4 linked regions of the Rhinolophus ferrumequinum genome follow. The protein of the gene in region 4 purifies or fractionates together with the protein of the main gene of each other region. This does not show direct contact. Links are inferred from orthologs where the notes say so. Each region holds a gene or a part of one and is shown on either strand. Other genes may lie near its edges.

Region 1 (7,487 bases), on a different chromosome or scaffold from region 4:
TTATGCTAAGTGAAATAAGTCAGATAAAGACAAACACTGTATGATTTCACTTATATGTGGAATCTAAACAACAAAATAAATGATCAAGCAAAACAGAAACAGACTCATAGACACAGAGAACAAAATGATGATTGTCAGATGGCAGGGGGGTTGGGGGGCTGGATGAGAAAGGTGAAGGGATAAGGCAGTACAAAGTGGTAGTTACAAAACAGTCAGGGGGATGTAAAGTACAGCGTAGAGAACATAGTCAATAATATTATAATAGCTACATATAGTGCCAAGTGGGTACTGGGCTTATCAGGGGGATCATTTCGTAAATTATATAAATATCTAACCACTATGCTGTACCTCTGAAACTAATATTGAATGTCAACTGTAATTGAAAAGAGAAAGAGGAAGAAGGCACATTTCTCATCAAAGGAAAGTGGAAAGAGGTGAGTAAACCAGCTCTTACATTTAATAGTATTTATTGAACATTATGTGTCAGACTCAGTGCAAAGCACTTTACAACTTTTATTGCACTTAATACTCAAAGCCCCATGGGGTCAATTTTATTATCATCCCCATATAAAGAATGAAACTGAGGCTCCAAGAGGTTAATTAATCTGCACAAGGTCAGAGAGCTTTCTGGAGATTCCTGTAGCCTCTAAGCATGCGGGGGGCCCTTGACTGTAGTCAGTCACTTTACTAGAATTCATCATCCCTTTCCATCTCCTGGAGGACAAAACTCCTCTCTACTTTGAAGTTCTCCACCTCAATAAAGAGAAGTAGGACTAACAAGCATACAGTCACTCAAATCAGAAACCTGGGATAACCCTCCATCTTTCCCCTGCCATCCACTCCATCGTTGAGATCCTGACATTCGCCCCCATAAATCTCTCCCCCACCTGTCCACTTCTCTGCATTCCTTCTTCAGTGGTGCCCCCATTAGCTCTCAGTAGGACCATTACAGTAGCAGCTGAGAGCCCGGGCTCTACAACTTACTACCTGTGCAACCTTGGGCAAGTTTCTTAATACATATATGTGTTCCACTTCCATCTGTAAAGTGGGAATAAAAATCACAACACTGTTTGACATACGATAACACTATATAAATGTTAGAAATAGGGGTGGGAACTTACAACTCCTCGCTTTTCCCTTCCTCTCATCATTCTTCACATAGTAGAGAGTGTGGTTGTTTTTTTAATGCATTGCACTCAGAAATCTCTGGTTCACAACTTTCTAAATTCTAGGCAGTATTTGTCATTTTTGAGTTTTTTCTAGACTTTGGGGCTTTTGCACACGTCATTCAAGTCCAACTACGTCTATTTATCCTTCAAAAATGGGATTAAGACTAACTTTTTCAGGGACGCTTTCTGATCTCCCAGAATGATTAGCCATCTTTGTTACAAGCTTCCCCAGTTCTCAAGCTTACACTTCTCCTGCCGTAACGTTTGCCAGGCTTAAAACGAGTTATCCACTGTGTCTTTCCCACTAGACTGTACTCTCAGCGGGGCAAAAGGTCTCGCCTGTTGGTTCTCGGCTGGAATCCCAAAGCCGAGCCCAGGGGGATAAATATCTACTGAATAAATCAAACTGGAATAAAGCAAAGTTAAAATTTCCAGCGACGGAGCTGGACCGTTAAGAGCCTCCCACTTCACTACTCTCACCACATCCTCAAATCGGGGCCTTTTACTCTCCTTCCCAGTGCCGAGCCCCTTAACGTGGAGGTCCCTCCTACCTCCAGTTTTTCAGAAGTGGCCTCTCCGCAGGCATCTACGCTTACTAGTCACTCTCTTCAAGTAGACCCAGCGACCTGGCCCCCCCCCCCCCGCCCAGATGTCACAGAACTTCCTTCCTCCCAAACTGATAACCTTCTCAGGTTCCCCCCGCAGTTGCCCACGGAGCCTGTTCACCTTCCCCGAGGCATCGCCCTGTTTCATTTCTGCTCTCGGGGCACCGACCACCCGCTGGGCCCTCCTCACGGGGGTCCACCCCCCTAAACCGCCCTCACAGCTCCCCACAAGGCCAGCCCCTGCCCCTGCCCCCGGTCCCAGCTGACGACGCACTCTCCCCGAGACACACGCGCTCCTTTCGTCGCCTCGCTCCACCCGGGAGGCCCGACCCCTCCTCCGGCTCTCACCCCACAGACCCCCGTGCACGCTGACCGTCCGGCAGACGCCCGGCCCACACCTCCTTTTCGGGGCCGTCCTCGGCTCCTCTCCCCACCGCCAGCCGGGGCCAGTTCCGGGCCTCACTGGGATCCACCCCGTCGTGCCGGGGCCCTTCCCCACCGGTCCCGGACTCCTCCAGGTGTCACCCGCTATACGCGGGCGCCCCTGCTACACTCGTCCCGGAACGTGTCTCCTTCCTGCGTGGCCCGAAACCCTCGCCCCATCCCTGGGGCTCGCACTCCCCCCAGCCCCCCACGGGCCCTCCGGACCCCCGGATCCAGGGCCTCCCGCACTTCCTCCCCTTCGCGGGCCTCCCGGACCCCCCACCCCCACCGAGGGCTCCTCCACCACATCCTCCGACAGCCCGGACCCCTTCCGGTACCACCCGCCCACGCAGCGCTCCCAGCCTTCCCGGGCCCCCACGTGTGCCTCCCGGCCTCCCGACGATCCCAGCACAACCCCCCGGGCCCCGCGTGGCCTCCGGAGAGCGAGCGGCCCCGGGAGCGAGAGGGGCTCCGAGGGGGCCGAGGGGCTGCGGAGCGAGGCCGGAGGGCTCGGGGGAAGCGGCCGGGAAAGCCCCGGCCTCCGGGGAGGGGTCTGATCGCCGAGGCCCGGGGACTCCCGGAAGCGGCCGTGGAGCCTGGGGGTCCCGGGGGAGGCCGAGGGAGTCCGGGGAGCGGGCCGGGCGGCGGCGAGCGGCCTCACCGTCAGTCACGGCTCCCATGGCGTGCGCGGCGGCGGCGGCGGCGCAGGCTGAGGCGGCGGTTGGCGGCGGCGGAGGTCAAATTCCCACAATGCAGCCGGGTAAACAGCCATGGAGGAGGAGGCGGCGGCGCCTGCGGCCGCCCGCTCCGACGCCTGAGCCGCGCCGCGCCGCCGCCGCCGCCGGACCCGCGCTCCCCGCGCTCCCCGCACTCCCCGGGGGCGGCCGCGGCCCGCGCGTGTGGGAGCCAGGCCAGGCAGGCGGCGGCGGCCCGGCTGCAGCCCCGGCCCCCGCCGCCCCCCCTGCCGCCCCCGCCCGGCCCACGCCCAGAGGCCGCCCCGGAGGCCGCCGCCAGCCGCCAGGTGAGCTCGCCCGGGCGCCGCCAGTGCGGCGGGGGCCGCGGGCCGCCCGGGGTCGGGGTCCCGGCCCCCTCCGGGGAACGGACCGCGGCCCCCGCCGCCCCGTCCCGACTGCTGCTGCTGCGGGTGGGCTCGCCCCCCGGGGGTGGGGAGGGCGGCGTGGGTGCCCGGCCCCTGCCGAGCCCGGGGGACGTGGGACTAAGGGCACCGATGGGGCGCGGCGCGAGGGTCGGCGCGAAGTTGGCGCCCACGCGCGCCCCGGCGGGTCTCCAACGCGGGCACTTGCGCCGGGCGCGGCCGGTGATCAAAAAAGGCCCCGGGATCCAGGTCGCGTGCTGCCGGCCGGGGCGGCCGCCCCTTTCGCTCCTGGGTACTGGCGGGTGCTGGGAAGGGGGGAAAGAGAAACTTGGCGACCTCCGGGAGCAGTTCGCGGAGCGACGCAGAGCGGTGTGCCCGCCGCCCTCCCCCGGCGCCCGAATCCCGTCGCTGGGCAGGGATGGGGCGCTTGTGTTTATTTTTCTCTTTGACTTTCGGAAAATGTCTATGTGACTGTCCCCATCTTAAGGGGAAGTTGAAAGTGAAGGGGGAGGGGGTGTTTAATGAGAAACGTTGCCTTGTATGTAAAGTTACACATTTCCGGAGCACACTGCAGATTATATTGGCATCTCTTCCCAAAAGTCACTTTGATTCAACTTCGATGAGTTTCTCACAAATGGCAACCTTTAGGTCGTGAAAAGTGAGAAGAGGCGAGCACCGACCCAGCTGCTGATTTGCTCTCCAGTGGGATAGATTCAGTTAGGGCACCAGCAGCGTGTCTGAGTGTTGAACCCAGGTTTGATATTTTATTGATCATAGAGTTATTTTCCAATTTTCCTATCCCGCAAGTAACCGGCCTCTTCATCTCCCGGAGGTAGCACTTAGTGGCGTGGATCTGGTGGTTTCAGTTTCCTTACTAAAGTTGGGTTCATTTCTCTCAGTTCTTTCAAAGAGGAAGAGTTGTAAATGCAAATGTGTAACAACAGTGAAGTGTGTTTCATTTCACCTCTAGCTAGGAATCCAGTGTATGTAAAATACTATTCATATATGAAGTCAGAACTTCAATTATGCTCTTCAACAGTGTTCTGAAGAATCAGCACCTTTGACTTTTGGCACAGAGGTAAATAAATAAATAAAGTTAGGTTGAGTGAAGATTCTTAGGTGTAACTTTCCCTCCCCCAGGGCCTGAAACCTCTTGGGCTTTGAAATAATATTGTCCTAAACACTGGCTGCCTATTTGCATCAGTCCCTGTTCATTTTCTTGGTTTTAGGAGAGAAGATACTCTAACCAAAAGAAGAATTACTTTAAGTCTTAAGTACTATACATTGTAAATTGAATGTGTCAATTGATTGTCTATCCCAAAGGCATTTTAGCAGGGATCATTATTGTTTAAAAGGTAATTGTCTGGGTGAAACGATGTTCTTTTTAAGTTACTTGTTACTTAGTCTCATTATCATAATACAGATTTTGAAACAGTATCTAGTGATTTAAAATAATCTTTAATGTTGTTTATAGATAAGTATCCCTGTCCTCTGTAACTGTTAAATTTTCATGAGACATCCTATCCTTTATTTTGTAAGTTCGTTTTGTAACTTACAACTTTATTGGACAGTGCTAGAAATGTTCTGAAGAAGATCAAGAGAGATGGGAAAGGCTTTGAAGTTGGAGATATACCTGAAAATAAACATTCCTGGAAGTTTTTGAGTCAGGTGGTGGGAAACACATCAAAATTTGAGCCTTTATGAACTTTTAAAAATCTGCTTTGTCAGCCACGTAATTTACCTTGCAGTTGCATTGACACAGATCTGTGTGCTGAACATTTAAAAATTGTGTTAATGGACTTTCCTTCATATCATATATAGTGAAAGAATATATTTTAGTAAATTTTAGACATTGTCTCTTTCTCATGTGATCGATTATATATTAACATGTTAATGAACGTTAAAATAGAGCTCAAGTTCTAGGCCATACTGATGTTTCTTTTCTAGGAAAATCTCGGCAAGAAGTAGCAGATTCTAAGCTATAACAAACTGATTTGGACTTTGAACTTAAATGACCGTAGATTTGGTGATTTACTCAAGTCATGAGATTCCTGGTTTCTTTGAGACTATGAGAGTCTAGTTAAGGAAGTTTGTTTCAGTGTTTATTTAATTTTAACTTTATGAAACTATAAAGGATGATAAGATAACTAGCTATATGATCTTTACCTTGGTCTTATGAAATGATGTAGGCATTTCTATAATATCCTTTTAGAGCAAGGGTCTTCCAGGGGTCTGTGAACCTCTGAGCAGGGGTGGGGGTGGGGGTGGGGGTGGGGCAGGTGTCCACGAATAGGCTTCAAAGGATTCCTGACCCCCTTACAGTTGTGACCGAAACTTTTTGTATATGTGATTTTCTGGGGAGAGAGCCTATGGTTTTAAAATAGGTCCAGGGCCCAAAAAAGTTAGAGAAAGATGTTTTTATTAAATGGGAGTTCGAATAATTTTTAAGAGAAACAAGTAGGAAAAAGTAGATCTTGGTGTTCAATACTTGCCTTTTAAAGTTTCCTTCAGCCTAGTCATGTGGTCTTAGAGGTGCAAAAAGACTTCCATTTTGTTCCCACAGCAAAGCGTCGCCTGTGAGTTGATAAACCATGCACGCACATAAAGGGCTTGACATGCTATCTTGAGTGCATTGTGGCTGTTTTTAAATTATATTTAAAATTTTAGAACAGATAGATTTGTGGTCCATAACAGAGACTTGAGCCTGACAACCAGTCCTCGGAACAAATGGTTCATTCAGTTCCACTCTCTTATTACTCTCCAGCGAATCTGAAATCTGACTGGGAGGTAGTCACTCTAAGAAATGGGTTTGTGCTTTGGTAAGACAGCAGGGTGTGATGGGAAAAACACAATTTCTGACTCGAAACAGGCTTACGTTCAATTCTGGGTTCTTTCATTTACTGTAGCTACTTAACTTGCCTGACCCTCAAGTTCCTCATCTGGAGAAGACTGACTTAGTGGAGGTGTTAGGAAGCTGGCGTGAAGTTCCTGGTGTAAAACTCAGAGCCCCTTATTTGTGCCCAGGAAGGACTTGGAAGCTAGTTGTGGGTAACCATTAATAAACATCTGCGTGAACATGTATAAACAAACATGGTACATGATACCGATGTACGTTATTTTCAAATAAGTATGATGAAAATATTGAAACTTTTGGGAAAAAAAGTCAAGTTTTTAAAAATGAGTTCAGACTTACTGGTTCTTATATTGTAGACGTTTGGGGAAAAGTTGAAGGAGAATGGTGGTGCTGGTGGCCGCGCGAAGGCCCTGAGTGCTGGGCAGAAAGAAGCAATAGGCACGCAGCAGCATCGCCTGTCTCTGGGTCAGATTCCATTTAACTGCTGCTCTTCACTTGTGATTTCAATGAAAAATCTAAGTGAAAAACTGCACGTCTGCTTTCCAGTCCTTCACCTCTAAAAATGTTTGCACACCCCCTGCTTTAAGGGACCCTCACAGGTACCCCAGGGATTTCATTAGTGAAAGTTAAACCTAGGACTTTGGCTGTCTAATTCTGATATCTTTAAGACCTCCACAAGTGGGTACCTGCATCCATTTTTCTCAACAGGAAAGAGTATGGAAGAACTGAATTGTATTTTCCTTTCTTTAAACATTGAAGGAAGAGAGGGTATTATGAGTGAAAGAAGAGATATATGAATAAAATACTTATAAGGCTCGTGGCCATAAAAATACGCTTGCTGCCACTGTTTCTGTGGTCTTTCCTGTTTCCTCTCATTTACTCATGGTGAGCATTCATACTTTCTGCTTTCAAGTGGATAGCGGTTATGAACATAAGCTTTAAGCTCCTGAGTAGAGACAACCTGAGTTTGACTTCCATTTCCTGAGCTTTCTGGTTGTGTTCTACTTGAGTGGGTGAGCCTCTGAGTCTGGAAGAGATGACCATTAAATGAGATAATAAAAACAAAAGGCTATGCTCAGTTCTAGGTTCCTAGGAAATGATTGAAAGCGGTAGCCAATTTGAGGATGGTTTCATTCTCATCTTTAAAAGGAAATCGCTAATGCATTCTTTCATAGAGAAAACCTTTAATTACACTCATTCCTCTATAAACGTCTGGGACCATCCTACTTTCAGAACAGCCTTTCACATCTTTCTGGTTACCTTGGGCAGGTACCCCACATCTGTAGGACCTATCAGACCTGTCCAGTGTTCTTAACAACTGTGTGGCATTCTCCATTAGG
Region 2 (6,918 bases), on a different chromosome or scaffold from region 4:
AGTTGGATAGGCTCTATTTATTTTTTTTAAATGCTGATGAGAAGGATGCATACTGTAAAAAATGATAGCATGGAATCCTAGTTTCCATGTTGAATGTCCCTGGACTAGATCTTTTGTGCAACTACAGAATGTGTCACTGTCTATATAATAAAGCGAGAGGGCCCATTTTCAAATTCTAGTTCTTGCCCAGGAACACCTCACATCAACTTGGAAAAGGTATGAGTTCTTATACTCTTCACTTGGAGAGGGTTCTCTTCATCTAGTAAAACAAAGTCTTCTAATGATTTAGCATCCGTGCTGTCAAAATCCTTAATTATTACATAACTTCTATACTATGATATAGTCAGCTTTCGCAAAGTAGCAAGCTCATGCTAGAAAATCATATTTAAACACTCATTCTAAGAATAAAAGCAATTTAAAAAAATAACAGAATTTATTAATTTGCCAGCAACATTTTAACAATAAAGGAAAACATACTTACAATTTCTTCTTCTAGAACACCTCTGAAAGCTTGGTCAAGGGTACATTTTTTTTCATTTTCACTATTGAAAACAAAAGACAAGCTCCATTTTTTAAACAGCTCAGGGTAAGTATAAAGATTCAGGCAAGCATGTTTCATGGATACTAATGCCTTACCTGCCAGGTAACTGGGTGAAGGTATTCAACAATGGTTTGATATTTTTGTTGTTCAAGGCCTCTCTGGTAGACTTCTAGAAAAATAAATATAGCAAGTAAGTGGAAAGATTTTTGCTTATTAATTACTGAAAAACATATAACTCATTAAATCTAAAAATGTTTATAACCGGGAAAAATTATCCATCAGTCATTCTATCGGTAGTTTTTATTCAAATGCCACTTACTGACATATAGACTCTCATCATGTTAAACCTGGAAAGAATTTCCTAGCTAGACTTTCTCATTCCAATTTTTCCCTCCTACCATCTCTTTAAATATCATAGTCATGAGAGTATTCTGCTTTTAAAAAAAAGTCTCCAAATGGCTCCTCATTTACAGACGTTGGTTTTGAAGTCTGATAGCTCCTTCTCAAGGTCCTTGAGAAGGTTATCCCACTCAATCTATCCAACCTTATTACCCACTACCCTCTAACACATACTCTCCACTAAGGTCAAGCCATTTTTTCCCTATTTTTCTATCAAGTACACTCTAGTGTATTTACACATTCATGTTGTTCTTCCCACCTGCTTATGCAAATTTTATCCATTCTTCAGGACTCATCTCAAGTCAGACTTCCTTGAGTGAGATAGCTTAGCTTGTTCAGCATAGTCCCTCACACATAGTAAACTGAACAAATACCTGCCGATTGTCTTAGTCATAATTGAAAGACAAAAATACTGAAAAGTCAATTCATTCTGTGAAAATTCACATATGATTCGAACAGTCATCTTATTACCTCACAGGAGTTAGATGGAAATGTCCATTCCTGACTCTGCCAAAAATAGGCTGTGTCAATCTGGGCAAACCCCTTAATGCTTCATTTTCCTCACCAGTTAAATAAAGGGTTGTTGTAGATCCTTACTACCAGTAGCAGCAGTGGAATTACCTGGGAACTTGACAGAAACGCAAAATCTCACATCCCATTCCAAGCCTACTGAATCAGAATTTACATTCAACAAGATCTCCAGGTGATCCACCACACACTGAAGCTGGAGAAGCAGCAGACTAGATGATCTCCAATTAAATGGCCCTTTCCAGGATTAATGTGATCTTGGATTGTCCTAACAATTACTCTTAGAATTTCAAAGCACCAGTATTACAGCAAAATGCCCAGAAAGAAAATCATTCTGATAACATAAACTAGATATAATCTGGTATTAGAAAAACAAACTCAATATTCTATGAGGAAAAAAATAACCTGCACACAAAAAACTACTTACTACAAAGAATCAATTTTCTTTCACAGAATTTTCATTCTGGCATCACTATAACTATGTAGGCAGTTAAATATGTGAGTAGCTGAATGATGACTTGAAACATTGGCACAAATGCTAAAGACAAATAACAGTCAAATAACTTAGAACAGGGGTTCTTTGTGCTGGGTGCTGTATGGGTAACAAAAAAAGAATACTGGCTTTGAAGTCAGAAAAAAAACAGTTTAGTAAATCACTTAACTTTTCAGGGGCGTGTGTCTCATTTCTTTCTCATCTACGAGGGGATAATAAAACCTAGCCTACTTCACAATGCTAAGACTTAAACATGAAAACGCTCTGTAAGGTGTTTCTCAAATGCTAAAGCTACTCTTCTCCAATATGTAGGAATAAATGACATCTGACAACCCTTTTCAAACTGCTCTGTTTGTCTTTTCCCACTTAGGATCTCTTAGGAGTGAGACACTGAGGGTTACAGGTACGGTGAATAGGCAGCCGGAACAAACCACCTGGCAACTAGGAGGCGGGGCGGGAGCCAGTCCTCTGGGCTAAAACCACTCCCGCCCTCCTCTTTCCCCAGCTCGCTTCCAGTTCTGGAGACACCTGCCCGGCTAAGCGAGCGCTGCAGAGGAGCTGGACCGGACGAGAGAGAGTCTGAAGATGAGCCCTTCATGCCGGCGACCAGAACGCGGAATGGAGGAGGCGGACCGCAGAGGATGCGCGGATGAGGCAGGTACAGCGTCTTTTCCACCTCCCAACCCCCGAAGCGGCCGGGAGCCAACGCTGCGGCTTACGCACCTCTGTCTCCGCTTTACCTCAGAGCAAAAGTCCAGTAATTAGAGAGGAGGGCAAAGAGAAGCGCCGGGTCAGGCTTGCACCCTCCCGCTTTCTGCTCACCGTAAACCGCGTCCGCGCTTCGGGTAAACTGAAGAGTGGCGGTGTCGGAGACATCTTGGCTGCGCGTGCCCGCCACCGCGCTGCGGCGCAGGCCGATGACGTCAAGCCGGGAGCAAAGAGATTACCGGCTGCGTACGCTGCTGGAGCGGCGTGTGAGCAAAGGGGAGGGGCGGCTGGCAATTAGGAGCTTCTGTGGAGGTCAGGTGGGCGTTGGAAGCCAGAGTCAACCACACAATGCCCTGTCCCGGTTCGTGGGTAACCTTTGGGGTGACGGCATAAGGGCGGGGCCGCGCCCTGTGAGCTCTGCGCTGCAGGGCGGGAAATAGGTCCTGACGCGCACCGCCGTGGTTTTCCGGGTTTGGGGAAGCCCTAGGTAGCTTAACGGGCGATGCGGGAAGGTAACCGCTGCCCGAGAATCCAGGACAAGGAGGTTATCTAGGAAAGCACCAGGCTGGGGAAGTGTTGGCAGTGGCGGTGGGTCGCGGACCGCGGTCATGCTCCAGGAAGGAGTAGTCTCAGCTCCCGATTTCTGTATCAGCTCTGTAGTTCATAGGCCTTGTAGCAGCAGTAGTTCACCCTTCTGTGAAATAGAATCAGTACTTTCGTATTTTGCCGTGTGCTCCTGTGTATAATGTGCACCCACGTTTTTGGCCCAAACTTTCAGGGAAAAAAAATCTTTCGTTTACATTTTTTAATTCAAATTGTTATTTGTTCACATTTAGGTACTTGTTTTTTGTATTATAAAGGAATTTTAGCATTTATATTTTTAACATTATGGTATAAGAAATTTTATGTAACAAATAATTACAAAAAATAAGAACAGATACAAGGTACGAGAAATTTTATGTACCGGTAACAAATTTACCATATTTATGTATCACAGAAGGCCAAGAACTCTTGGTCGTTGCAAGTTCATCTTAAGTTCAACAAAACTGATTATCGTATTCCAGGGTATTATTTTGCATATGGATATCGTTATTGATTTCTAGAGTTACAACACTTCCAACTCATAAGCATAAATGAATTAAAAACATATAGATACGGAATTAGTACTACCCATGTATATTGCACGTCCTTATTTTTACCTCACAAATTTTTGGGGAAAAGTGCACATTATACACGGCAAAATATGGTATATCTGTCACAGTGCTGTTGGAAAGCGTGAATGAAATAAATGCAAGTGTGGCATACGTAGCCATATAAGACTTATTGTTATATCTTGGAATTGTTAACTTGGTGGCCATATATAGGTCTCTACAGAAGGAGAAAGACCTTGGAGGAATGCAGTGTTTGGCGCTGATAGTAAAATGGGTGGCACTGCCTCCAGGGTAGAGGCACCCCTGGCAAAATCCTGCGTCCTCGGCAGTTTCCTCCCTTGTCTCCTTTCACTGGAGAGGCTTGGCCGATGAAAAGCCAAGTAGAAGTAACTTTCTTAGTTGGAATGATGCTGTGGGGAAGGAAGTTATGCATTGACCCAAACACAAACTTCCTGCCAACTCTTCTTCGTTTCCACGTGTAACCTAATGATGAAAGCTAGGTGTGCTTTACCTTGTTCCCTTCATTGACATTCAAAGAGAATGTAGGAAGCCAACAAAAAGATAACTTTGCATAGTGTTGCCTGTAAGTGGGAATTGTGAACAGTGATGGCTGGAGCACTGTTGTCTTTTTTTAGAATCAACAGAATCATTCAGGTTTGATGGTATAACAAGTCTCAAAATTGGCAAATTAAACTGGTATTAACTGATTTAACAGGTAGCTGATTAATAGGATTATTATATTACAGAAGATTATTAACTATCAAGAACACAACTAAGAACCAAGAAAGAAATGCAGTTATTTTTTACAAAACACCAATCATAAGAAGAGCTGGACTCATCCATCAAAGCCCAGTGACTTAGAATTCTCTTTATTCAGCAAAAAAGTCAGCAAACATTTGTTGAGTACATTATACACAATACACAGTATCTGTTGAAAGAATGATATATGAACAAATGAACAAAATAGTGAAGCCTAATTCCTATTTTGAGAAACTTTTAGTTTGGTTGACATAAAAGAAACAAACAATTACAGTGTACATACAATTTCTATTATAAATACTTTCGATTATAACTGCTGTAAGAGATTAAAGGAGAAAGCAATTGCTACCATATGAGGTGATCATAGAGCCCTCAAGGAGAAGATAGAATATGAGCTGGACCCAGAAGGATTCCAATAGACAGGAATGGGAAGGGATGAAAAGGAAAGATATTCCCAATGGAGAGACTGGTATTAGCAGAAGTGTGGAAGGGAGAAAGCATAGTGAAAGATAACTGTTTTACTGTAACATTGGATTCTGAACAGAAATAAGGCTGAACAGTCAAGTTGGAACCAGATTGTATTAATGTTTGAGGCCAAAGAATGTTTAAAAATGGCTTTTACACTTCCTGCCAAGTTATAGCTGGCAGTATATTTGGGAGGAAGGAGAGAAATGAACTGCTTTGCTGCTGAGTGCTGAAACACCAGATAAAGAAACAGTAGGAAAAAAAGTAACAATCTTCAGAGAATAATGAGGTGTTACTGTTTAATGGGTACAGATTTCAGATTGGGATGATGAAAAAGTGCTGGAGATGGATAGTGTTGATGGTTGCAAAACAACGTGAATGTACTTAGTACCACTGAATTGTACACTTAAAGATAGTTAAAAATGGGTAAAATACTAAATTTATCCATCAAAAATCACTACAGTAAAAACATTTTAACATGTAGATCACTTTAATTAATACTTTATAATCCCCAAAGCACTTAACATTTAGTACCTCATTTGCTCCTCTAAGTGATATTTGAAGGTGGGTAATACAACTGTTATGCCATTTTACACATAAGGAAGCAAACTCAAAGAGATGGGGTTCTTGATAAAAGTAATTGGCAAAATGAGACTACCCGGGATTTCGATTCCAAATATTGTACTCTTTACACTGTTATACTGTTGTAAGTAATGCTTACGTTTTATTGAGCACCTTCTATGAGCCAGACGCTTTTCTTGTATTACTTCTACTCCTTAGAACAACATTATACATAGTTATTTATCAGTGAGGAAACAGGCTCATCTGTCACATGACTAGAAGCTTGTTTGAGATTTGAGCCTGGCTTTAATCCCAAAGCCTGTATTTTTCTCAGGTCTTAACTCTTGATTCTTTACTAACCCATGGGGTTAGTTATTGTTTCAAAAATTATTGCCTTGCTGTTGGCTAAGAGTGAGGATCATACTGTCATCAATAACACATTATGAGTTTTTTAAAAGAATGTAATAATAACACTCAAAAGGTGACATCCCGTAACATGTTACCTTTTCACTTAGATTTATTGTGCACTTGTTTTTCCTCTTATGCTAGTGAGGTAAGATGGACCTGCCTCTCTGTTAGGAAATACTCTCCATGGGAAATTCTAGGCTGGGTGATTTAGATAATTTCTAAGTATTCAGCTCTTTATTCCTCTTCTTTTCCTTGGTGTGATCTTAGTTGGATTCAAGTTACCATTGAAGTGGTTAGATCTAGGAGAAAAGGACCAAGGGGGCAGCTTAGTCTGCTTTTGTTCTAGTCTTTATCCTCTAGTCCTGGCAAAAGGAAACTTTTGGCTCCACGCTCACTAGTCAACCACATTAGGATGTTAGATTGCAGTTTCTGCTGGTTCCGGTTCTGGGCCTTAGCCATCTTTCCCTTTCTTTCTCTCTGTAATTTGAGTGGATTGAAAGAATAATATTGACAGGGAATGGATGTTTCAGTGGCAAAGATGAGCAAAAAGAATGAGACATCATTGTTGGGAAAGGAATGGAATTGGGAAGAAGAATAGTAGAAGAGGGATGGCACTTTGTGAATATTGTTGTGGAAAAAGAGGAATTACAGCACCCATAAAAACTAGGGGTGCTGTATTTTTGCCACAGTGGTGGCAACTTTCAAGCATTTTGTATTAGTGTATTATTCATTCATCACATATTTATTGAGTGCCTGTTATCTGCCAGTCACAAGTACAATATTGGATTATATATGCAGTATGATTATTTTATTAAATCGTTAAGTACTGTGTATATAATTATCTAGTATACCTGGTAAAATCTTGTTTGGTGAGCTTGGTTGGACCACACAGATGAGCATAATTC
Region 3 (7,977 bases), on a different chromosome or scaffold from region 4:
GCGAGCCCAGGATAGTTTAATGGCGGCGCCCGCCAAGGGTCCGCTCCAGCAGGTGAGGGGGAGGGGCGCCCGCCCCAGAGAGCAGCTCAGGTGGGGGAGGGGAGCCCAGGTTTCGGTGCCTTTGTCCCAGGGGAGGGAAGGAGGAGCATTTAACCCTTCTCGAGTCGCAGGACTCGATCTGCTCGTCGGCTTCCGTGCAGCCCCGCGCCCGAGGGTTGGTCGGCCGGGTGGCGGTAGCCAGATCAGTCCAAGTTCTCCAGCAGGCCACACCCCCAGCACCCCGCTCCTGGAGGCACCCATCTCCTCCCTCACCCCGACACGCACACTGGCCCCAGGCTCACCTGCGAAGGAAGGAGTCCGCGGAGATTCCTAAGAGACGGCGGAGTGCGGGGATGGGGCGGAGGCAGGGTCTTAAAGAGGCAGTGACGTCACTGGACCACCGCCCCGGGGAGGGGCAGAGACCCCATTCCAGACCACCGCGGGAGCGCGAATCCCAACTTTGTCAGTCGGGGGCGCTCGAGATTGGGGCTGCAGGGTCTGCAGCTGGCCCGGGTGCGAGGACATCAGTGGCTGGCGTCGGGGCCCGCGGTAAGTCTAGGCGCAGGGCGTGGAGCTTGGGTCTCCGCTCCGCCACTTACTAGTCCTACTGCTGTGACCTCGGGAATTAACCTAACCTTCCCGAGCCTCAGTTTCATACTCTGCAAAATGGAGACAACAAGCCCGCATTTTACTAGGTAACTATGTCCTAAGGTAGAAATTAAACATCATTGTGTTACGTTTATTATTATACCCCGGGGCTCTTAAGAGAGCGGCAGTTATGTCTGCAATGGGTCAGTGGGTGGTTTCGTGTCTGATCCACCCACCCACACACTCACGCAGACATACACACACCTCCCGGACCTGAGCACCGAGAGGGCAGCCAGGACTGCGTCCTAGAAGATCGCGCACAAGGACGGTGTTTGCAGAGCGAACGATTGAACTTAGCGGGCCAGGCGGGGCGGGACGCCCAGGGGCGGGCCGCTGGGCGGGCCCAGACGAGGGGTCTGCCCCGGAAGGCGGGGGCGGGGGCGGGGCTGGGGCTGTAGGTCTCCGAGGCCAGCGGCGGTAGCAGAAGGCAGCGCCCGCGGGACGCTAACGATGGCTCCTGGCCTCCAGCGCCCGTTGCTGCGGCTCCTGGTGCTGTGGCTCGGGCTGGCGCTGCTGTGCGCTGTGGCGGGGGAGCGGGTGCCAGGTACGCCGGGCGACGAGCAGGGACTGGGCAGGAGGGCGTGGGGGCCGGGGAACCCTCGGCCGGGAATCGGGGAGTCGACTTGGGGGCTTAGCGGAGAGGGCAGAACTAGGGGGACATGGGATCCGGGGTCAGGTCTCCAGACAACGCACTCCCTGGTCAGGGGAGGTCCCATCTCGCTCCGAGCTTCATCCCGTCAGGGCTTCAATTTCCCGCCTGTCCAACTCGGGGAACCTCTCTGTCTTTAAAGTCTGGACTCGGAAGTGGAGAAAGTTTGAGGGCGGGATGTCTCGTCCGGTGAGGGGACATGCCCCCATCCTGGTCAATACCGGGTGTGCCCAGCCCCAGTGACCGAAGAGTCGGGAGGGGGTGTCGAGAGGCACGGGGGTCTGTGCCCCCATCACATGTGGGGTGCCCCCTTCCATCCGGTGACTTCAGTGCCCAGCTATGCGGGGGGAGGGACCGGGGTCGGGCCCGATGCCCAGGAATGAGTCACCCGCCAGCGGCGGGCGGGTTTGTGGGGACCTGACCTCCCGCGCTACGCCCCCCCTTCTCCCCCCACTCCCCGCGCAGCCGTGTCCCGGTCGGGCCGTGCGGTCACCTGTGAGGAATGCGGGAGGAGGGCGCCGGTGACTCACGTTATTCGAGCCTGCCGACCCTGACCTCAGCCCCCAGAATAGTCACGCCCCGCCCCCAGCTTCTGACCCGTGGCCCCCTCCTCAGGCACCACCCCCTGCTCTCGCGGCAGCTCCTGGAGTGCAGACCTCGACAAGTGCATGGACTGCGCGTCGTGCCCGGCGCGACCGCACAGCGACTTCTGCCTGGGCTGTGAGTGGGGGGCGGAGCCAGAGGCGAGAGGACCCCCAGACTGGGGGAGAGAGTTGCTGGGGTAGAGGGGAGTAGGGGACTTCAGATCGGGGGAATTAATGTGGAGGGGGGCGGGAGTGAGGGCCTCCAATCTGGGTAGAGGTCTTGGTAGGGGGGGACTCGTGGCTCAGATCTAGGGAGTGGGGCTGGTTCAGAGAGGAGCGAGGTCTGACTTCGAGTCCTATCCCCAGGCGCTGCGGCCCCTCCAGCCACCTTCCAGCTGTTGTGGCCCATCTTGGGGGGAGCCCTGAGCCTGGCCCTTGTGCTGGGACTCCTTTCCGGCTTCCTGGTCTGGAGACGGTGCCGCAGGAGAGAGAAGTTTACCAGTAAGTGTGCCCTGGCTCTCCTGCCTGCCTGCCCGCGTGCCCCCACCCCCCCACCCCATCAGTCCCCACCGTCCTCCCTGTTCTTGACGACCCCTCTTCTTATCTTGCAGCCCCCATAGAGGAGACCGGCGGGGAGGGCTGTCCCGGTGTGGCTCTGATCCAGTAACAATGAGCATCCCCTGCCAGCAGGAGGCCACGCCCACTCATCATTCATTCATTCATTCTGGAGCCAGACCCTGCCTCCCAGACACAGCCCTGAGCCAGGCTGCTCCAACCACAGGGGTGGGCAGGGATGAGGGACGGGTGAATCACTTCTGAGGCCTGGACCCAGACTTTAGAGGAGCCTTCATTCAAGGTGTCTGACTGCCCTGCCTCTGGCTCCAGGACAGAAAATGAGACCTAGGCTGGCTCACACCAGACAGCTGACACTAAGGAACTGCTACATTTGCACAAGGGTCCCCCCTCCCATGGCCTGGCAGCCAGTCTGACCTGACAGACAGACACAACACCAGGCCCTACCCACTCAGATGAGCTGAAATTCCAGCACTGGGGTCTCAGCCTGGGGGGTTAGGGACCTGTTCCTAACACTAGGGGGCTGGCCCTCTAGGGGGGCTGGCCCTAAGACACTGCCCCCCCAACCCTCAAAGGGGGGGAGATATTTATTTTGGGGAGAAAGGTTGGAGGGGGGAGAATTTATTAATAAAAGAATCTTTAACTTTAAATGGTTCGAAGAGTGGCATGATCCCCAGCCTGACTTCCCAGAGCTGGAGGGAGGAGTGAGTCAGCCGCGGGGGCGGGGGCGAGGCTCTGACTCACACATTCTCAATGTCTGAGCCTCGACTGCCAGGACCTGGCTAGGCCCTGACCGTTTTCCAGGGAAGATCTTGAGGAGAAACCCCACTATCCAGTGCCCCAGCTCTGCCCCCTCTTCCCAAAGGCCCTAGGTTCCAGACTGAAGACTTCCTCTGTTCAGCAATCTTTATTCAGTTCTGGGGGGGGGGGGCATGCCTCCATTCCCATGCTGTTGGCCCTCCCACCCCAGGGTTCTGTTGGGCTCAGTATCCTCTTTTGGGGGAAGGTTCTGGTGCCCAGAGGCCTGGTCTGGAGGAAAAGCAGGGCAGCTGGTCCCTTCATGGGGGTGTTGGTCTCCCCTACTGGAGAGAAGGAGGGTGGGCAGGGGTACTGTCTGCCAGAATTCAGAGCTCCATTACATCCCCAGCTGGGGTTGCAGGATAGTGGGGGGCAGGGGTGTCCCCCAGCCTCAGCATCCGTAGAGCCTCAGGGATCAGGTTTCCAGGGTATCGCCAGAGAAGGAGCTCAGAGCAAGGGCTCCTGGAAAAGGAAATGACAGGGCACAGGGTTGAGGCTGGCCTGGCAGAGCCACCCACCACCAGGTTCAGGTCCCCAGGGGCTACTGGGCTGCAGGCGCCTTCTAAGGAGCCAAGATGAGAACAGAGGTTGGCTAGAAACTAAAAATAGCAGGATGAGGCAGGCCCTGGAGGTTGGCTCTGATAGGGCGTGATTCTCCAGAGGGCCTAGCGGGTAGCTAGTGAATGGTGCCTACCTGAGTGGGGGAAGAGCTGGGGGGAAAACCATAGGGGGGCTGCAGTAAGGGTGGTCATTATGCAGGCTGAGTCGAGAGAAGTGAGTGGCCATGTTCTCCTCAGACAGGAACTGCTTGCGCAGGGGCTCCCTAGGGAGAGACCGGGAGGCAGGCAGGCTGATGGGGACCTGAGGTGACAGGTCTTGTTGGGAGTCCCTCCCTGCCCCTAAACTCACTGCTCCTTCTCCAGGCGCCGTTTGGTGCTCATGGGCACAGCTCCTTGGAGAGGGGGGCTGGGAAGAAAAAAGAACCAGGTGCACCCCACCCTCTTGACCCCAACCCTAAGATCTGCCGGCCTGAGCCTGCAACGTCAGCCAGGAACCCCCACCCAATCCCTCTCAGTTGACACTTAAATCACCCCCACTCTCCCGGGCCATTCAGCAGCTTGCCTCGTTAGTCTCCAAACTCGTCTCAGCTCATGCCCAAACTCTGCTGATTCGCCCCATCGCGTCATCCTGCAGACCAGCCCTGAGCCCCAAGCCAAAGCTCCAGCGCCCCTGGGCCAGGCCCACCCAGGGCCCACACACACACCTCGCGTCCAGGCCTCGAGGCGCCCCCAAGGCGACCCGCGGGTCACGCTGGGCCCGACCTGGGGGGCCTCGCTCCAGAGGCTGCTGAAGGATCATTGGGGTTCGGGGTCCTGCGGGCGGAGGGGTGGGATCCGGACGACAGGCGGAGCCTCCGAGGGCGTGGCCCAACGCGGGAGGCGTGGCTTTAGGCGCGCGCAGCAGCAAGATTCACGCAGGCGCGAAAGACGGACGGCGAGCGGCTGGAAGGCGGGCCCATTCGCCGGGTGGGGGAGGGGATCTGGAGTAGCGGGGCTGCGGTGGGAGCCACTTGGTGTCGGAGATTTTCACGGCGGTCACTGCGGCTCTTGGGACTCTGGTGGTACGCGGCGGCCGCCTTCGCGCCGAGCCGGCTGGCGGTATTGACCGGGTGAAGCTCAGTGACGGTGAGCCGCTTTGGGGCACGTCCGGACTCGTGAGTTTGCGTTGCGTGCGGAGCAGTCTGGGACTTGTAGTTCTGCAGATGGAGCGAGCTCTGCCCCACGCGGTGCCGCTGGGTCAGGTGAGACCGGCGTGTGCGCGGTGCCTTCTGGGGTTTGTGGTCCATGCCCCACAGGGGCCTAACGTGAAAGTCAGAGAGTAGTAATTAGAAGGCAATATGTTTTTCTGTATTGGGGTAATAGAGCCACTGTTTATGCGTTTTGTAGGAGGCATCACTGTGTGAAGCTCTTTATATACAGTAGTTCATCCAGTCATGACAGAATGTCCTGTGAGCTTCATTTGACAGTTGAGGGAACTTTGAGGAGAGGTTGGGTGTGTTATGCAGGGTGTCATGCGGGGTCTCTGGTCCCCCTCCCCTCATAAGAACGCAGGACATGGTGAGGCCAAAAAGGAACACCCACGGAGCCATAGATAGGGGAGTCATACTACCATAGTCTCGCTGGCGAATGGGTTGGAGACACAGGAAACAGGATCCACACGATCTGCAACCTGCTGTCCGCTTCTCTCTCTCTCTCTGCCAACCAACCAACCACAATTGCTGGCTGCAATCTGCCCTACTAACTGCAATTCGCCGTGCCAACTGTAATCTGCGCTTGCTAGCTCAGCCACCATCTTCTTGCTAGCCCACATTTACTGCTAGCATAGCCACGGCAGTTATATTAGTGGCCAATGGCTCACTGGTTACAGCTGACGGCCAACTAGCCATAGCTGATGGCCATCCAGTCACAGTTGATGGCCATTTACTACCCGAGTGAGCACCTTTCCATGTGAGGGCGAGAGCCTGGAAACTGTACTCCTGGCTCTGTCCCCACAGGGTGCTTGCTCAAAGTCCTACTAGGCATCACGCCTCAACTCCCCTCTTCCTTACCTTTTCTTCGAGCCAGCCCCGGGACTGTATGGGCAGGTGCCCACCTTGGTGGACCTCAGAGGAGGGTGGAGAAGTCTGGGCAGTGGCTGAACTGGCGGCACGGAAACTAGGAAGGACTCTGTGAAGCAGAGGTCCCAGACTGCCTTCATCTAGTCTCTCCCCACAGATGGAAGTGTTTCAGGCCCTACAGCGGCTGCACATGACTATTTTCTCCCAGAGTGTCTCACCCTGTGGGAAGTTCCTGGCAGCTGGCAACAATTATGGGCAGATAGCCATCTTCAGGTACCCTCACCTCTGCTCCCCACAACCCATTAGCTCTGGCATTTGGCTCTCCCAGGACTGATGTCCCCTGTTTCTGACTCAGACCCTCTTCCCCTCTCCTTTCAGCTTGTCTGCTGCTTTGAGCTCCGAGGCCAAAGAGGAAAGTAAAAAGCCCGCAGTGACCTTCCAAGGTGGGTGCAGCCATTGAGTCTGGCTTAGAGGACCCCAGGGTAGAGGAGGAGAGCAGGACGGGGTCGCTCAGGTTCTGCATTTCCATTTAGCCCACGATGGGCCGGTCTACTGCATGGTCTCCACTGATCGACATATGTTCAGCGCTGGGGATGGGGAGGTGAAGGCCTGGCTGTGGGCAGAGATCCTCAAGAAGGTAAGAAGTGTCGAGCTGGAGGAGGGGTACTGGGGCATCCAACTCCAAAGAGAACCTCTGAGGTCACTCGTTGTTTTCCTCCATGAAGGGCTGCAAGGAGCTGTGGCATCGTCAGCCCCCATACAGGTGAGCCAGGGCCATGTGGACAGAGGGCACGTGGGGGTGGAGGTGCTGCCTCACCAGAGCTGACCCTGCTTTCCCTCCCCCAGGACCAGCCTGGAAGTACCAGAAATCAATGCTTTGCTTCTCATCCCCAAGGTCTGAACCCTTTGTAACTAAGTCTCTACCCTGCCCTGTTCTTGGCCCAAGCTGTGATCCTTCCCTGTCCCTGTCCTGATTTGACCCCACTCTGTCTTCCTCTGCAGGAGAATGCGCTTATCCTGGCAGGGGGAGACTGCCAGTTGCATATGATGGACCTTGAGACAGGGAGCTTCACGGTAAGAGGGCTGTGGAGCTGGGCAGTCACGGTGGGGTGGGGGAAGGCCTTCTTTCTGGATCTTGTCCTGACACTGTTCCTCTCCTGCAGAGGGCTCTCCGAGGCCACACAGACTATATCCACTGCCTGGCACTGCGGGAGCGGAGCCCCGAGGTGCTGTCAGGTGGCGAGGACGGGGCTGTGCGGCTTTGGGGTAAGGGACTCTGGTTAGAGGGAAAGATGGTGGTGAGGGAGGCTGGGGGAAGTAGGCTGCCTCTCATGGTTCTTCCCCCACAGATCTCCGCTCGGCCAAGGAGGTCCAGACGATCGAGGTCTACAAGCACGAGGTGAGGGCATGTCCCATGCCTGTCCTGCCTTCTCCCTGGGCATCTTCTGCATCTTCACCTCCTCTGCTCTTCCCCTCCTCCCTCTCAGGAGTGCTCGAGGCCCCACAATGGGCGCTGGATTGGATGTTTGGCAACTGACTCAGACTGGATGGTGAGCCAGGCAAAGTGCAGGATGGGGTGGCAGCTGCAGGCCCTACCAGCTGAGGGCCTGTGGCTTAGGAGGCTGGGGACCCCACCTTTCTGCCCAGGTTTGTGGAGGGGGCCCAGCACTCACCCTCTGGCACCTCCGTTCCTCTACACCCACCACCATCTTCCCCATGCGGGCACCACAGAAGCACGTCACCTTCTACCAGGACCTGGTGAGTCTCTGTCTCCATTTTGCCACCCCTGCCTAGCTCCCCTCTCCAGCGCTGACCCCTCAATCCCCTCCCTGCCTTCCACAGATTCTGTCAGCCGGCCAGGGCCCGTGCGTCAACCAGTGGCAGCTGAGTGGGGAGCTTAAGGCGCAGGTGCCTGGCTCCTCCCCAGGGCTGCTCAGCCTTAGCCTCAACCAGCAGCCAGCAGCACCTGAGTGCAAGGTGGGTCCTGCGCGGAGCTGTGGGAGTCCTGGGAGGCCAGGGGTGTGTGGACAGGTCAGTCTCACACACATACACACACACACACCCTTGCC
Region 4 (7,676 bases):
CAAGGGATGGTGGGCTGCGCCTCCTGCAACGAGAAAGAGCTAGCGAGGCCAAGGGGGAGGAAAGAAATCTCGAAGCAGCGAGACTAGCTTGTGCAAGGGCCCTGTGGGAGGAGGGACAATTTGCTTTCCAAGAACTGAAGTAGTGATGTTGGGAGTAAGGAGGAGAGTAGTGCCTGCAGCTGGAGAGGAGGAAGGGCTGGATAATGTGCTGAAAAGAGGAGGGATAGGAGTGGAGGAACCAGAAAAACAGAGAAACCAGTGAGGAGGCCACTGCAATGTCCAGACATTGCAGAGGTGATATGTTGGTGGCTGGGATGGAGAGAAGCTGAGGGATGAGAGCTGAAAGGAGGGACAGAAGCAGATGGGCACGAGGGATATGTGGGAGGTCAGACTGACAAGACTGTGTGGCCGTGGCTATGGGGGTGGGAGAGGAAGGTGTGAAGGGTGGCTTCTGGCTTCCACGCTTGTACACCTGGATTCACTACAGTGCTGATCAGGGAGGTAGGGAACACAGGAACGGACCCGGCTTGGAAGGAGGATTCTGACTCTTAGTCAAGTTGAGTTTGAGGTGCCTTGAGACATTCAAGGGAAGATGTCCAATAAGTAGTTGAACATATGGGTCTGGAGCTCAGAGGAGAGGGCAAAACTGGAGATGCAGATATGGAGTCCTCAGGCTGTGGATGGCCGTGGAATAGGAAGCCATGGGTGTGATGAGATGGCCCAGGGAGTGAGCACGGGGTGAGAAGAAAGAGGGCCCAGGATCGAGCCCTGGGAGATTGTTAATGCTGCGGGAAGGAGGAAGAACCCTAAAAGGCACTGGAGCAGGCGTAGCCTGGGAAGTGAAAAGAAAACCAAATGTGATCATACAATAGAAGATTGTGTGTGGTTTCAAGACCTGGGGAGCGGCTATCAGTGTCCATGATGCTGAGTGGTCCAGTCAGGTGGAGAAAGTGAGGGAACACAATCCTTTCAAGAATTTAGCTGTGTTGGGGTTGGGGAGCATACGGGGTCTGACAATTAAGTTTGTGAACTCACTCTAGAAAAAGTGCTGCCTACCTCATTCCTGAATATCACTACGGTCACCTTTGAAGCACTCCCCTTGGGAAGCTGTGCACCGACGCCAGAGCCTAGTCCACCCTTCAAAGCAATTTTGAAACTCTTTTTCTGGAATGGCCATCAGAGCTGTCGTCATATTACCCTTGATGTCCTGAATGTCATCCAAATGTCTTCCTTTCAATATTTCTTCTGGTAAAGAAAGAAGTCATTGAGGCCTGGATCAGGTGGGTAGGGAGAGTGTTCCAATACAGTTATTTGGTGACTGGCTAAAAACTCCCTTACATGCAAGAGCCATGAATTGTTGGGGAAAATTTCAGGTCGTCTAACTTTTTCACACAGCCCGTTCAGCGCCCAAATAGTAATAACCTTGGTTATCTGTTTGTCCAGTTGGTACAAATTCATGATGAATAATCTTTCTGATACCAAAAATAAGTTAGCAACATTGTTGCAACAAGCCCACGAACTTGTCAGACGCGGTAGATACATATATCTTCTGCATCACGGTCAGCTGCCTCAAGACCTTTTCTTTCACTGTAGAAGCTTTTCCTTAATTACCAACCTGCACATATTCCAAGGACGTGAAATGGGGGTGTGGGTTGTGGGTGTCCAATTTAAAACCGCATCAAAGAACAACTCTGAATCAGCAGGGCATCACCTCAGGCCCGTGGACCATGTTACCAGTTCTCAAGTAGCATTTGATAGGAGCTCATATTACCTTTTAATGGCTTTTCCCTTTTTTATCCCAGGAGAGGTAGGATCCCATTATTCATTCCCCTCTTCCCTGGAAGAGAGAAGGAGTGGCCAATTTCAGTCAAAATTTTAAGAAAGAGGAATCTTTCAGAAGACCCTTAATATCCTCTTTGTCCCTTAGCCTCCACCTTCACAAACTTCTCAAAAGAGTTGTCCACACTTCCGCAAATTCCACTTCTAATCTACCGTCCTCTTCATGGACATCGTCTCATCAAGGTCACCGATGGCCAGCAAACCTCTAGACCCAAGCCAAGTTTCACTGTGAACTTATGGCTGCCCTTGATACCTGATCACTTCCTGGGTGAAACTCTTCTTTCAGTCTGTCCCAGTGTCCCACTCTCCTGGTTTCTTCTGTTAATAAAAAATCATCCAGACTTTGGAAATAGGAAAAAAGAACAGGAAAAAGAACTACACTGATATTCTTTCAATGTAGTGCCAGGTGTACCTATTTTGCCCAGGGGTTATTGATTCTCTAGGGATGTGTACCTTTGTGTACCTTCCGATTTACTATCTATTAGGGCATTTTACAGCTCTGTAAGGGTAGAAGTTAATTTATAGAAAATTCATAATGAGCAAACAATTCTTGTCCAATAGCGATGCAAATGTTTTCTATCTGGTAGAAAAGGAAACCCCAAAGGTTACAGTTTTTTTGCCTTGTAGGACATTAAATTGTGTTGTTACATTAATTTCTGTGTTCTTTTGACTGACCAACTCTGTATTCATTCCCAAATTCTTTTTTGAACCAGTGTTAATATCTTTTCGATGTCTTCATCCCCTAATGAATGAATAAAAGCTTTGACATGTGTTCATTTCATATTGGGGAGTCATGTTTTTCAACTTTTCTTTTTTTTTAAGATTTTATTGGGGAAGGGAACAGGACTTTATTGGGGAACAGTGCGTACTTCCAGGATTTTTTCCAAGTCAAGTTGTTGTCTTTTCAATCGTAGTTGTGGAGGGCGCAGTTCAGCTCCAGGTCCAGTTGCCTTTGTTAGTTGCAGGGGGCACAGCCCACCATCCCTTGCAGGAGTCAACGAGTTGAACCGGCGTCCTTGTAGTTGAGAGCCCACTGGCCCAAGCGGGAATCAAATCTTCGGCGTTAGGGGAATGGAGCTCCAACCACCTGAGCCACCGGGACAGCTCTCAACTTGTTCAAGAATTATTTTTGACCACTTCTGTTTCCATGGCCCCACTTCAGCAGGCTGCACCGAGGACAGGAAAGGGGGGCGGGTGGTGAGTCAGGTGACTAAAAAGAGACAAAGACATGAAGGGCTTTCCTGACGGAAGTCTAGGAACCCTGGGGTTAGCCTGATGCCCTGACTTGCTCTGGATTTCTAATTCTCCTGCCAGCTAGAGCTCTGCCACAGGAGCTGGTTCTCCCTGAACGCAGTGCCTGAGTCCTCAAGCCACAAGGCTCCTCCCACCCTGCAGGGTGAGAGGCCTGCCCAGCCTTTTCTGCTTTTCCGGGTGTCCATAGCTGAGAAGGGATTCCTCCTCTCCTCATTCCCCAACCCCTCAGGCCTAGAAAACACGTGTAATGGTGGGGTTTGTCACTGTCGCCCAAAGCTAGCCACCCCAAGCACAAACTTTCTCTGAAATGTTCTTAAAAATTCACACAAATGCATTCCATGCATGCAACCCCATTTTGTAACTAGTGTCCCTTTTGTCAAAACTAGCCCTCTCAAGAGCTCCATCTTTTTTGTCCTGTGATTTAGCCCACATTTAAGAAGAACTGATGCACTGTGTCCCTTCTATTTGATCCTGTATCTACATGTAATTATCTCATTGAACCCTCACACCTCCTTTGGGGGTGAGGAATGTCCCATATTACTGCTGAAGCAGCTGAGATTCTGAAGTGGTAAGTGGCTTGCCCAAGGTCACACATGGTGTAAGGAGCGGAACCAGCCAGTTTTGATGCTGATCATGCTCTCTCTTGGTTTATAATTATTTGTTCCTCCATGATCATAGCTGGCAGGTCCTCAGGGACCCCAGGGTCCCACCCATGCCCTCCTGAGATGGGAAGACAGGCCCAGAAAGGGACCAGAACTAGCTCAAGTTAACACGGGGAGGAAGGTGCAAAATCTGGACTCAAAGCAAAAACTGCCCTCTGGAAGCTTATAGGACACTCCCCCTCTCCCAACCAAGCTCTTGTTGAAATGTCTGCAAGAAACCATGTTCAGAACCTTACAGTGGACTAAGCCCTCTGGAGTCAGGAAATTGAGGGTTAAGCTCTGGCCTTTGGGCAGCTCACTACCCTCTCGGAGTCTCAATTTTTGTGTATGTAAACTGGGTCAATTATTGGGACACCTGAAAAAGACTAACGTTGTTAGTAAGGCAAATACATTGTAAACCTACAGAATACCTAGAGGTGACAGACCAAAGCTCATTCTGGGCTCTGGAGCCAGATTAGATTGTCTAGGCTCAGATCCAGGTTTTTGTCTCTTAAATAGTCTGTCACCTTAAGTAAATTTTTATGCCTCAGTTTCCTTATATGTGAAATGGGGACTAACACTACCTACTACTTCATAGGGTTGTTGTAGGGATTCAAGCGCTTGTAACAGTCACTGGCACGTAATGACCTCTTAGTAAAGTTAGCTTTCATTACAGGCTTACTGCTCTAGGCGTAACTGTTAGTTCTAAGCCCAGAAAATACCGATCTCCTCCAGGCCCTGCCCCCTCCAACAGGCCCGTCCCCATCTCCATTCGGTCCCGCCTCCTCATCTCCAGGTCCCGCTCCAGCCTGCCCGGGTTCCTCCTGCCACCAGGGGGCGGCAGCGCTAAAGGGGGAGGGGCATTCTAACTGAAGCTGGCGACGCTCTAGGTAGCGGCGGCGGCTGCTCTGTAGCCAGTGGCGGCGGCGCTCTAGCCAGCGGGTGTGCGGGGCGGGCTCTCAGTGGTGCGGCCGGCGGGCGGCGATGGCGGCCGTACGGGGCCTGCGAGTGTCGGTGAAGGCGGAGGCCCCAGCGGGGCCGGCCTTGGGGCTCCCATCGCCTGAGGCGGACTCCGGTTTGGAGCGTGGCGAGCCGGAGCCCATGGAGGTGGAGGAGGGCGAACTGGAGATCGTGCCGGTGCGGCGCTCGCTGAAGGAACTGATCCCGGTACGGGCGGGGGACGGTGGGCGAGGAGGAGGAGGTCGCTAAGAGAGCGAGTGCCCCGCGCCGAAGCGGGCCGGAAAGGGAGGCGGCCGGCGCCCGGGCTGGGGGAAAAGTCAGGGGAAGGGGAGCGAGGGGGGCGAGCGCGGGGGGTGGGGGAAGGGGGCTCCAGGCTGGAGGCGAGACCCGGAGCGAGAGAAAGGACGCTGGGGCGCCCGGAAATGGGTGTTGAGGGGGCTGGAGGAGGTGGGGTAGAGCTGGAGGGTACTTAAGGACGTCCCTTTCGCTGCCCCTCTGAGCTAGTCTGTGCAAGGGGGTGATTGAGGAGGGGCTGGGATTGTCTAGGGGCTTGAGATAAAGGGGGAACCCCAGGCGGGAACAGGACCAAAAGTGGCCCAGAAAGAACTGTGGCGCCAGCATCCAGCCCTCCTTGTGGGTCGTGCTCCGGTGGAGCTGGTGTCTGTAAAACCTAGCACTCGCGGGTTTCTCTTGGAAGGGTGGGACTTGTCAGCAGCAGGAACTCAGTGTTTCTGTTGTGGCTTGAGGGCCGTCTTGTCCCCCATGCAGCCCCACTGCTATGTAGCACCTACACCGTGGCCCCAGCATCTGACCCTTAATGAACCCAGAACATCAGCGAACAGCAGTGGTCCTTGGTCTGTTTTTTTAATCACAATGGAGATACTGAGAGGTGTTTTGCTTGTGGTTTGGTGGTCCAGTGTCCGGTTCTTATGGCTGGTCTCAGACCTGCATGGCTCTTCTCAAGTACTTAATTTCTCACCCAACACAAACTACTTTTTACCACGTCAGCAAGACATGCTTTTAAATTGAAATTATGGGGAGAGGTGAAGGTGGGAATCACTAAAGATAGCAAATGATAGTGATTCTGGTAGCAAGGATGAACAAAGTGGCATTTTACCATTAACTACATTGTATCATTTAAATATTACCCAGGTTGTGAAGTCGACATCATCCCTTTATTCGTTCAGTTTAACGTGTGTCTATTGCATCCCTCACTACAGGTGCCTGGCACAATCCTAGGCACTTGATCAAGATCAAACTCCCTCCTGGAGTTTATGTTCCAGTTGGAGGACACAAGTAACAATTTCTGATAGTGGTAAATGCTATGAAGAGAATAAAACATGTTAATGGGAACAAAAGTGCAGAGGGCGGGGGGCGGGGTGCAAAATGGGCAGCAGAATGGGATAGGATGATCAGGGAAGTCGTCGGAGATAGTGACATTTAAGCCAAACCCTAAACGACAAAAAGGAGCCAACCATGTGCAGACTTGGAAGAGAGTGTTCCCAGCAAGGGCAACAGTAAGTGCAGAGACTGAGATGGGAACAAGATTGTTTTGTTGGAGAAATGGAAAGTTCTGCAGCATAAGTGAAAGAGGTCAGGAAGGCCTAGATACGAGGGTGGATACCTAGGCCCAGAGAGGCCAAAGGAAATTGCACAGTGTTGTGTAATCTGTGAACTGCGACTTGAGTCCTGAGCTTCCAAATCCCACCCTCTTCACTGCACTGTGCTGTTTTCCCTTGGAGGTCTGGGTGAGTCGGGGCTTTCTGCATTTTGGTGAGGGCTTGTGCTCCACCTGGTGGCCTGGCCTGGTGCCTTTGATCTGTCTGGGTTGGAGGGAGAAGTGGACGTTTTTCACGAAAGCCTTTAGATTTTCACTTACACAGGTACTTTCAATAGATGGAATTACTTCAGGTGTTGCACAGGCTCTGATCTAGAAAAGACTTCTCATTAAGGTGGTTGATGGCTACCAGGGAGTCCCTGGGATGTTGTTTCCTCATAATAAGGGTTGTGAGGGTAGGGGAAGGATTGCTGAAGCGAATGACTATTCAAAAGGCATCAGCTGTCTTTTATTATGAGATTTTCCTCAATAGCTGTAAGCATTTCATACATTTCCCCCTCGTGTTAGGACACAAGCAGAAGATATGAAAATAAGGCTGGCAGCTTCATCACCGGAATCGATGTCACCTCCAAGGTAAGACAGACCAGGATTTATTTATTCATTTTGAGAAGCGGGTGAACTTCGTCCCTAGGACTTGTGGAACTGCAGTTATTCTTTACCTCCTATTTTGTTTTGCTGCAGAATTAAACATTTTTAACTTAAATTTCATATTATACAATGATGCCTTTGTGCATTCTGGAAACATCTGGGCAATATTTTGTTCTCATATTCACGACAAGATGAAAATCACAATACCAGGGTGACTGCGTAACCACATCCAAGAGAAAGTTCTGCACTGGGAATGCTTTTTTTATGCTATGTCCCTTCTTTAAAAGTGCATATACTGTTTCCACTTTAAATGAAACAAAACATGAATAATAGCATTATATTGCTATATTGGCTGTATAAAAGCAAAAATAAAAATAAATATGTCATGCCTATGTTTTATCTGGGTCTCAGTCTGTCAGATGGCTTAAAGGCCAAAAGAAAAAACTGACCTTTTAGACAAGAAAATAAAGTGAAGATGTTTTCCTGTTGTAATTGAAAAAGAAGTGGACTGCACTGTTCTTAATCCTACAGTTTGCCATTATGTGAAACAGATATATGGGGGAAAGGGTAGTAATCCCAGAACTGATACTTAAATTATGGCTAAAGGAAGGTAGATTGTTTGCACTGGCAAGATGTAAGTGAAGAAAATTAGCATAACTATTGGGAAGTAACAGAAGTGTTGCTGCTTTACCAATCCCCACAAGCTTTCTATAGTCAGACCTTCAATTAGTGTGGCAAAGTTAATACACAGTGAAGGGTTCCTAAGAGCTATCCGA

What was found.
Region 1: the proteins of NCBP3 (region 4) and THOC7 purify together in Homo sapiens (co-immunoprecipitation; 3 studies listed by BioGRID and IntAct, with this or other methods). This does not show direct contact. The link is inferred for Rhinolophus ferrumequinum from reciprocal best matches to the Homo sapiens genes NCBP3 and THOC7.
Region 2: the proteins of NCBP3 (region 4) and THOC1 purify together in Homo sapiens (co-immunoprecipitation; 4 studies listed by BioGRID and IntAct, with this or other methods). This does not show direct contact. The link is inferred for Rhinolophus ferrumequinum from reciprocal best matches to the Homo sapiens genes NCBP3 and THOC1.
Region 3: the proteins of NCBP3 (region 4) and THOC6 purify together in Homo sapiens (co-immunoprecipitation; 3 studies listed by BioGRID and IntAct, with this or other methods). This does not show direct contact. The link is inferred for Rhinolophus ferrumequinum from reciprocal best matches to the Homo sapiens genes NCBP3 and THOC6.

Annotation. Positions count from the first base shown.
Region 1 is NC_046300.1:57,897,542-57,905,028, forward strand, and holds the start of THOC7 (THO complex subunit 7 homolog), read right to left. Parts: upstream 3,013-7,487; 5' UTR 2,878-3,012; coding exon 2,859-2,877; intron 2,269-2,858; exon of another isoform or gene 2,148-2,268; intron 1-2,147. UniProt on the Homo sapiens protein: Component of the THO subcomplex of the TREX complex which is thought to couple mRNA transcription, processing and nuclear export, and which specifically associates with spliced mRNA and not with unspliced pre-mRNA.
Region 2 is NC_046302.1:16,794,418-16,801,335, reverse strand, and holds the start of THOC1 (THO complex subunit 1), read right to left. Parts: upstream 3,001-6,918; 5' UTR 2,838-3,000; coding exon 2,784-2,837; intron 711-2,783; coding exon 637-710; intron 543-636; coding exon 482-542; intron 1-481. UniProt on the Homo sapiens protein: Component of the THO subcomplex of the TREX complex which is thought to couple mRNA transcription, processing and nuclear export, and which specifically associates with spliced mRNA and not with unspliced pre-mRNA.
Region 3 is NW_022680357.1:4,524,593-4,532,569, forward strand, and holds the start of THOC6 (THO complex subunit 6 homolog), read left to right. Parts: upstream 1-4,960; 5' UTR 4,961-5,053; coding exon 5,054-5,092; intron 5,093-6,065; coding exon 6,066-6,181; intron 6,182-6,286; coding exon 6,287-6,351; intron 6,352-6,441; coding exon 6,442-6,545; intron 6,546-6,633; coding exon 6,634-6,671; intron 6,672-6,754; coding exon 6,755-6,803; intron 6,804-6,910; coding exon 6,911-6,982; intron 6,983-7,071; coding exon 7,072-7,174; intron 7,175-7,257; coding exon 7,258-7,307; intron 7,308-7,395; coding exon 7,396-7,458; intron 7,459-7,555; coding exon 7,556-7,666; intron 7,667-7,750; coding exon 7,751-7,885; intron 7,886-7,977. Other genes in the region: TNFRSF12A (tumor necrosis factor receptor superfamily member 12A), read left to right, coding at 1,138-1,231, 1,952-2,056, 2,287-2,421, 2,532-2,587; HCFC1R1 (host cell factor C1 regulator 1), read right to left, coding at 3,618-3,753, 3,986-4,114, 4,201-4,257, 4,556-4,650. UniProt on the Homo sapiens protein: Component of the THO subcomplex of the TREX complex which is thought to couple mRNA transcription, processing and nuclear export, and which specifically associates with spliced mRNA and not with unspliced pre-mRNA.
Region 4 is NC_046304.1:14,691,549-14,699,224, forward strand, and holds the start of NCBP3 (nuclear cap-binding protein subunit 3), read left to right. Parts: upstream 1-4,661; 5' UTR 4,662-4,718; coding exon 4,719-4,901; intron 4,902-6,819; coding exon 6,820-6,885; intron 6,886-7,676. UniProt on the Homo sapiens protein: Associates with NCBP1/CBP80 to form an alternative cap-binding complex (CBC) which plays a key role in mRNA export. NCBP3 serves as adapter protein linking the capped RNAs (m7GpppG-capped RNA) to NCBP1/CBP80.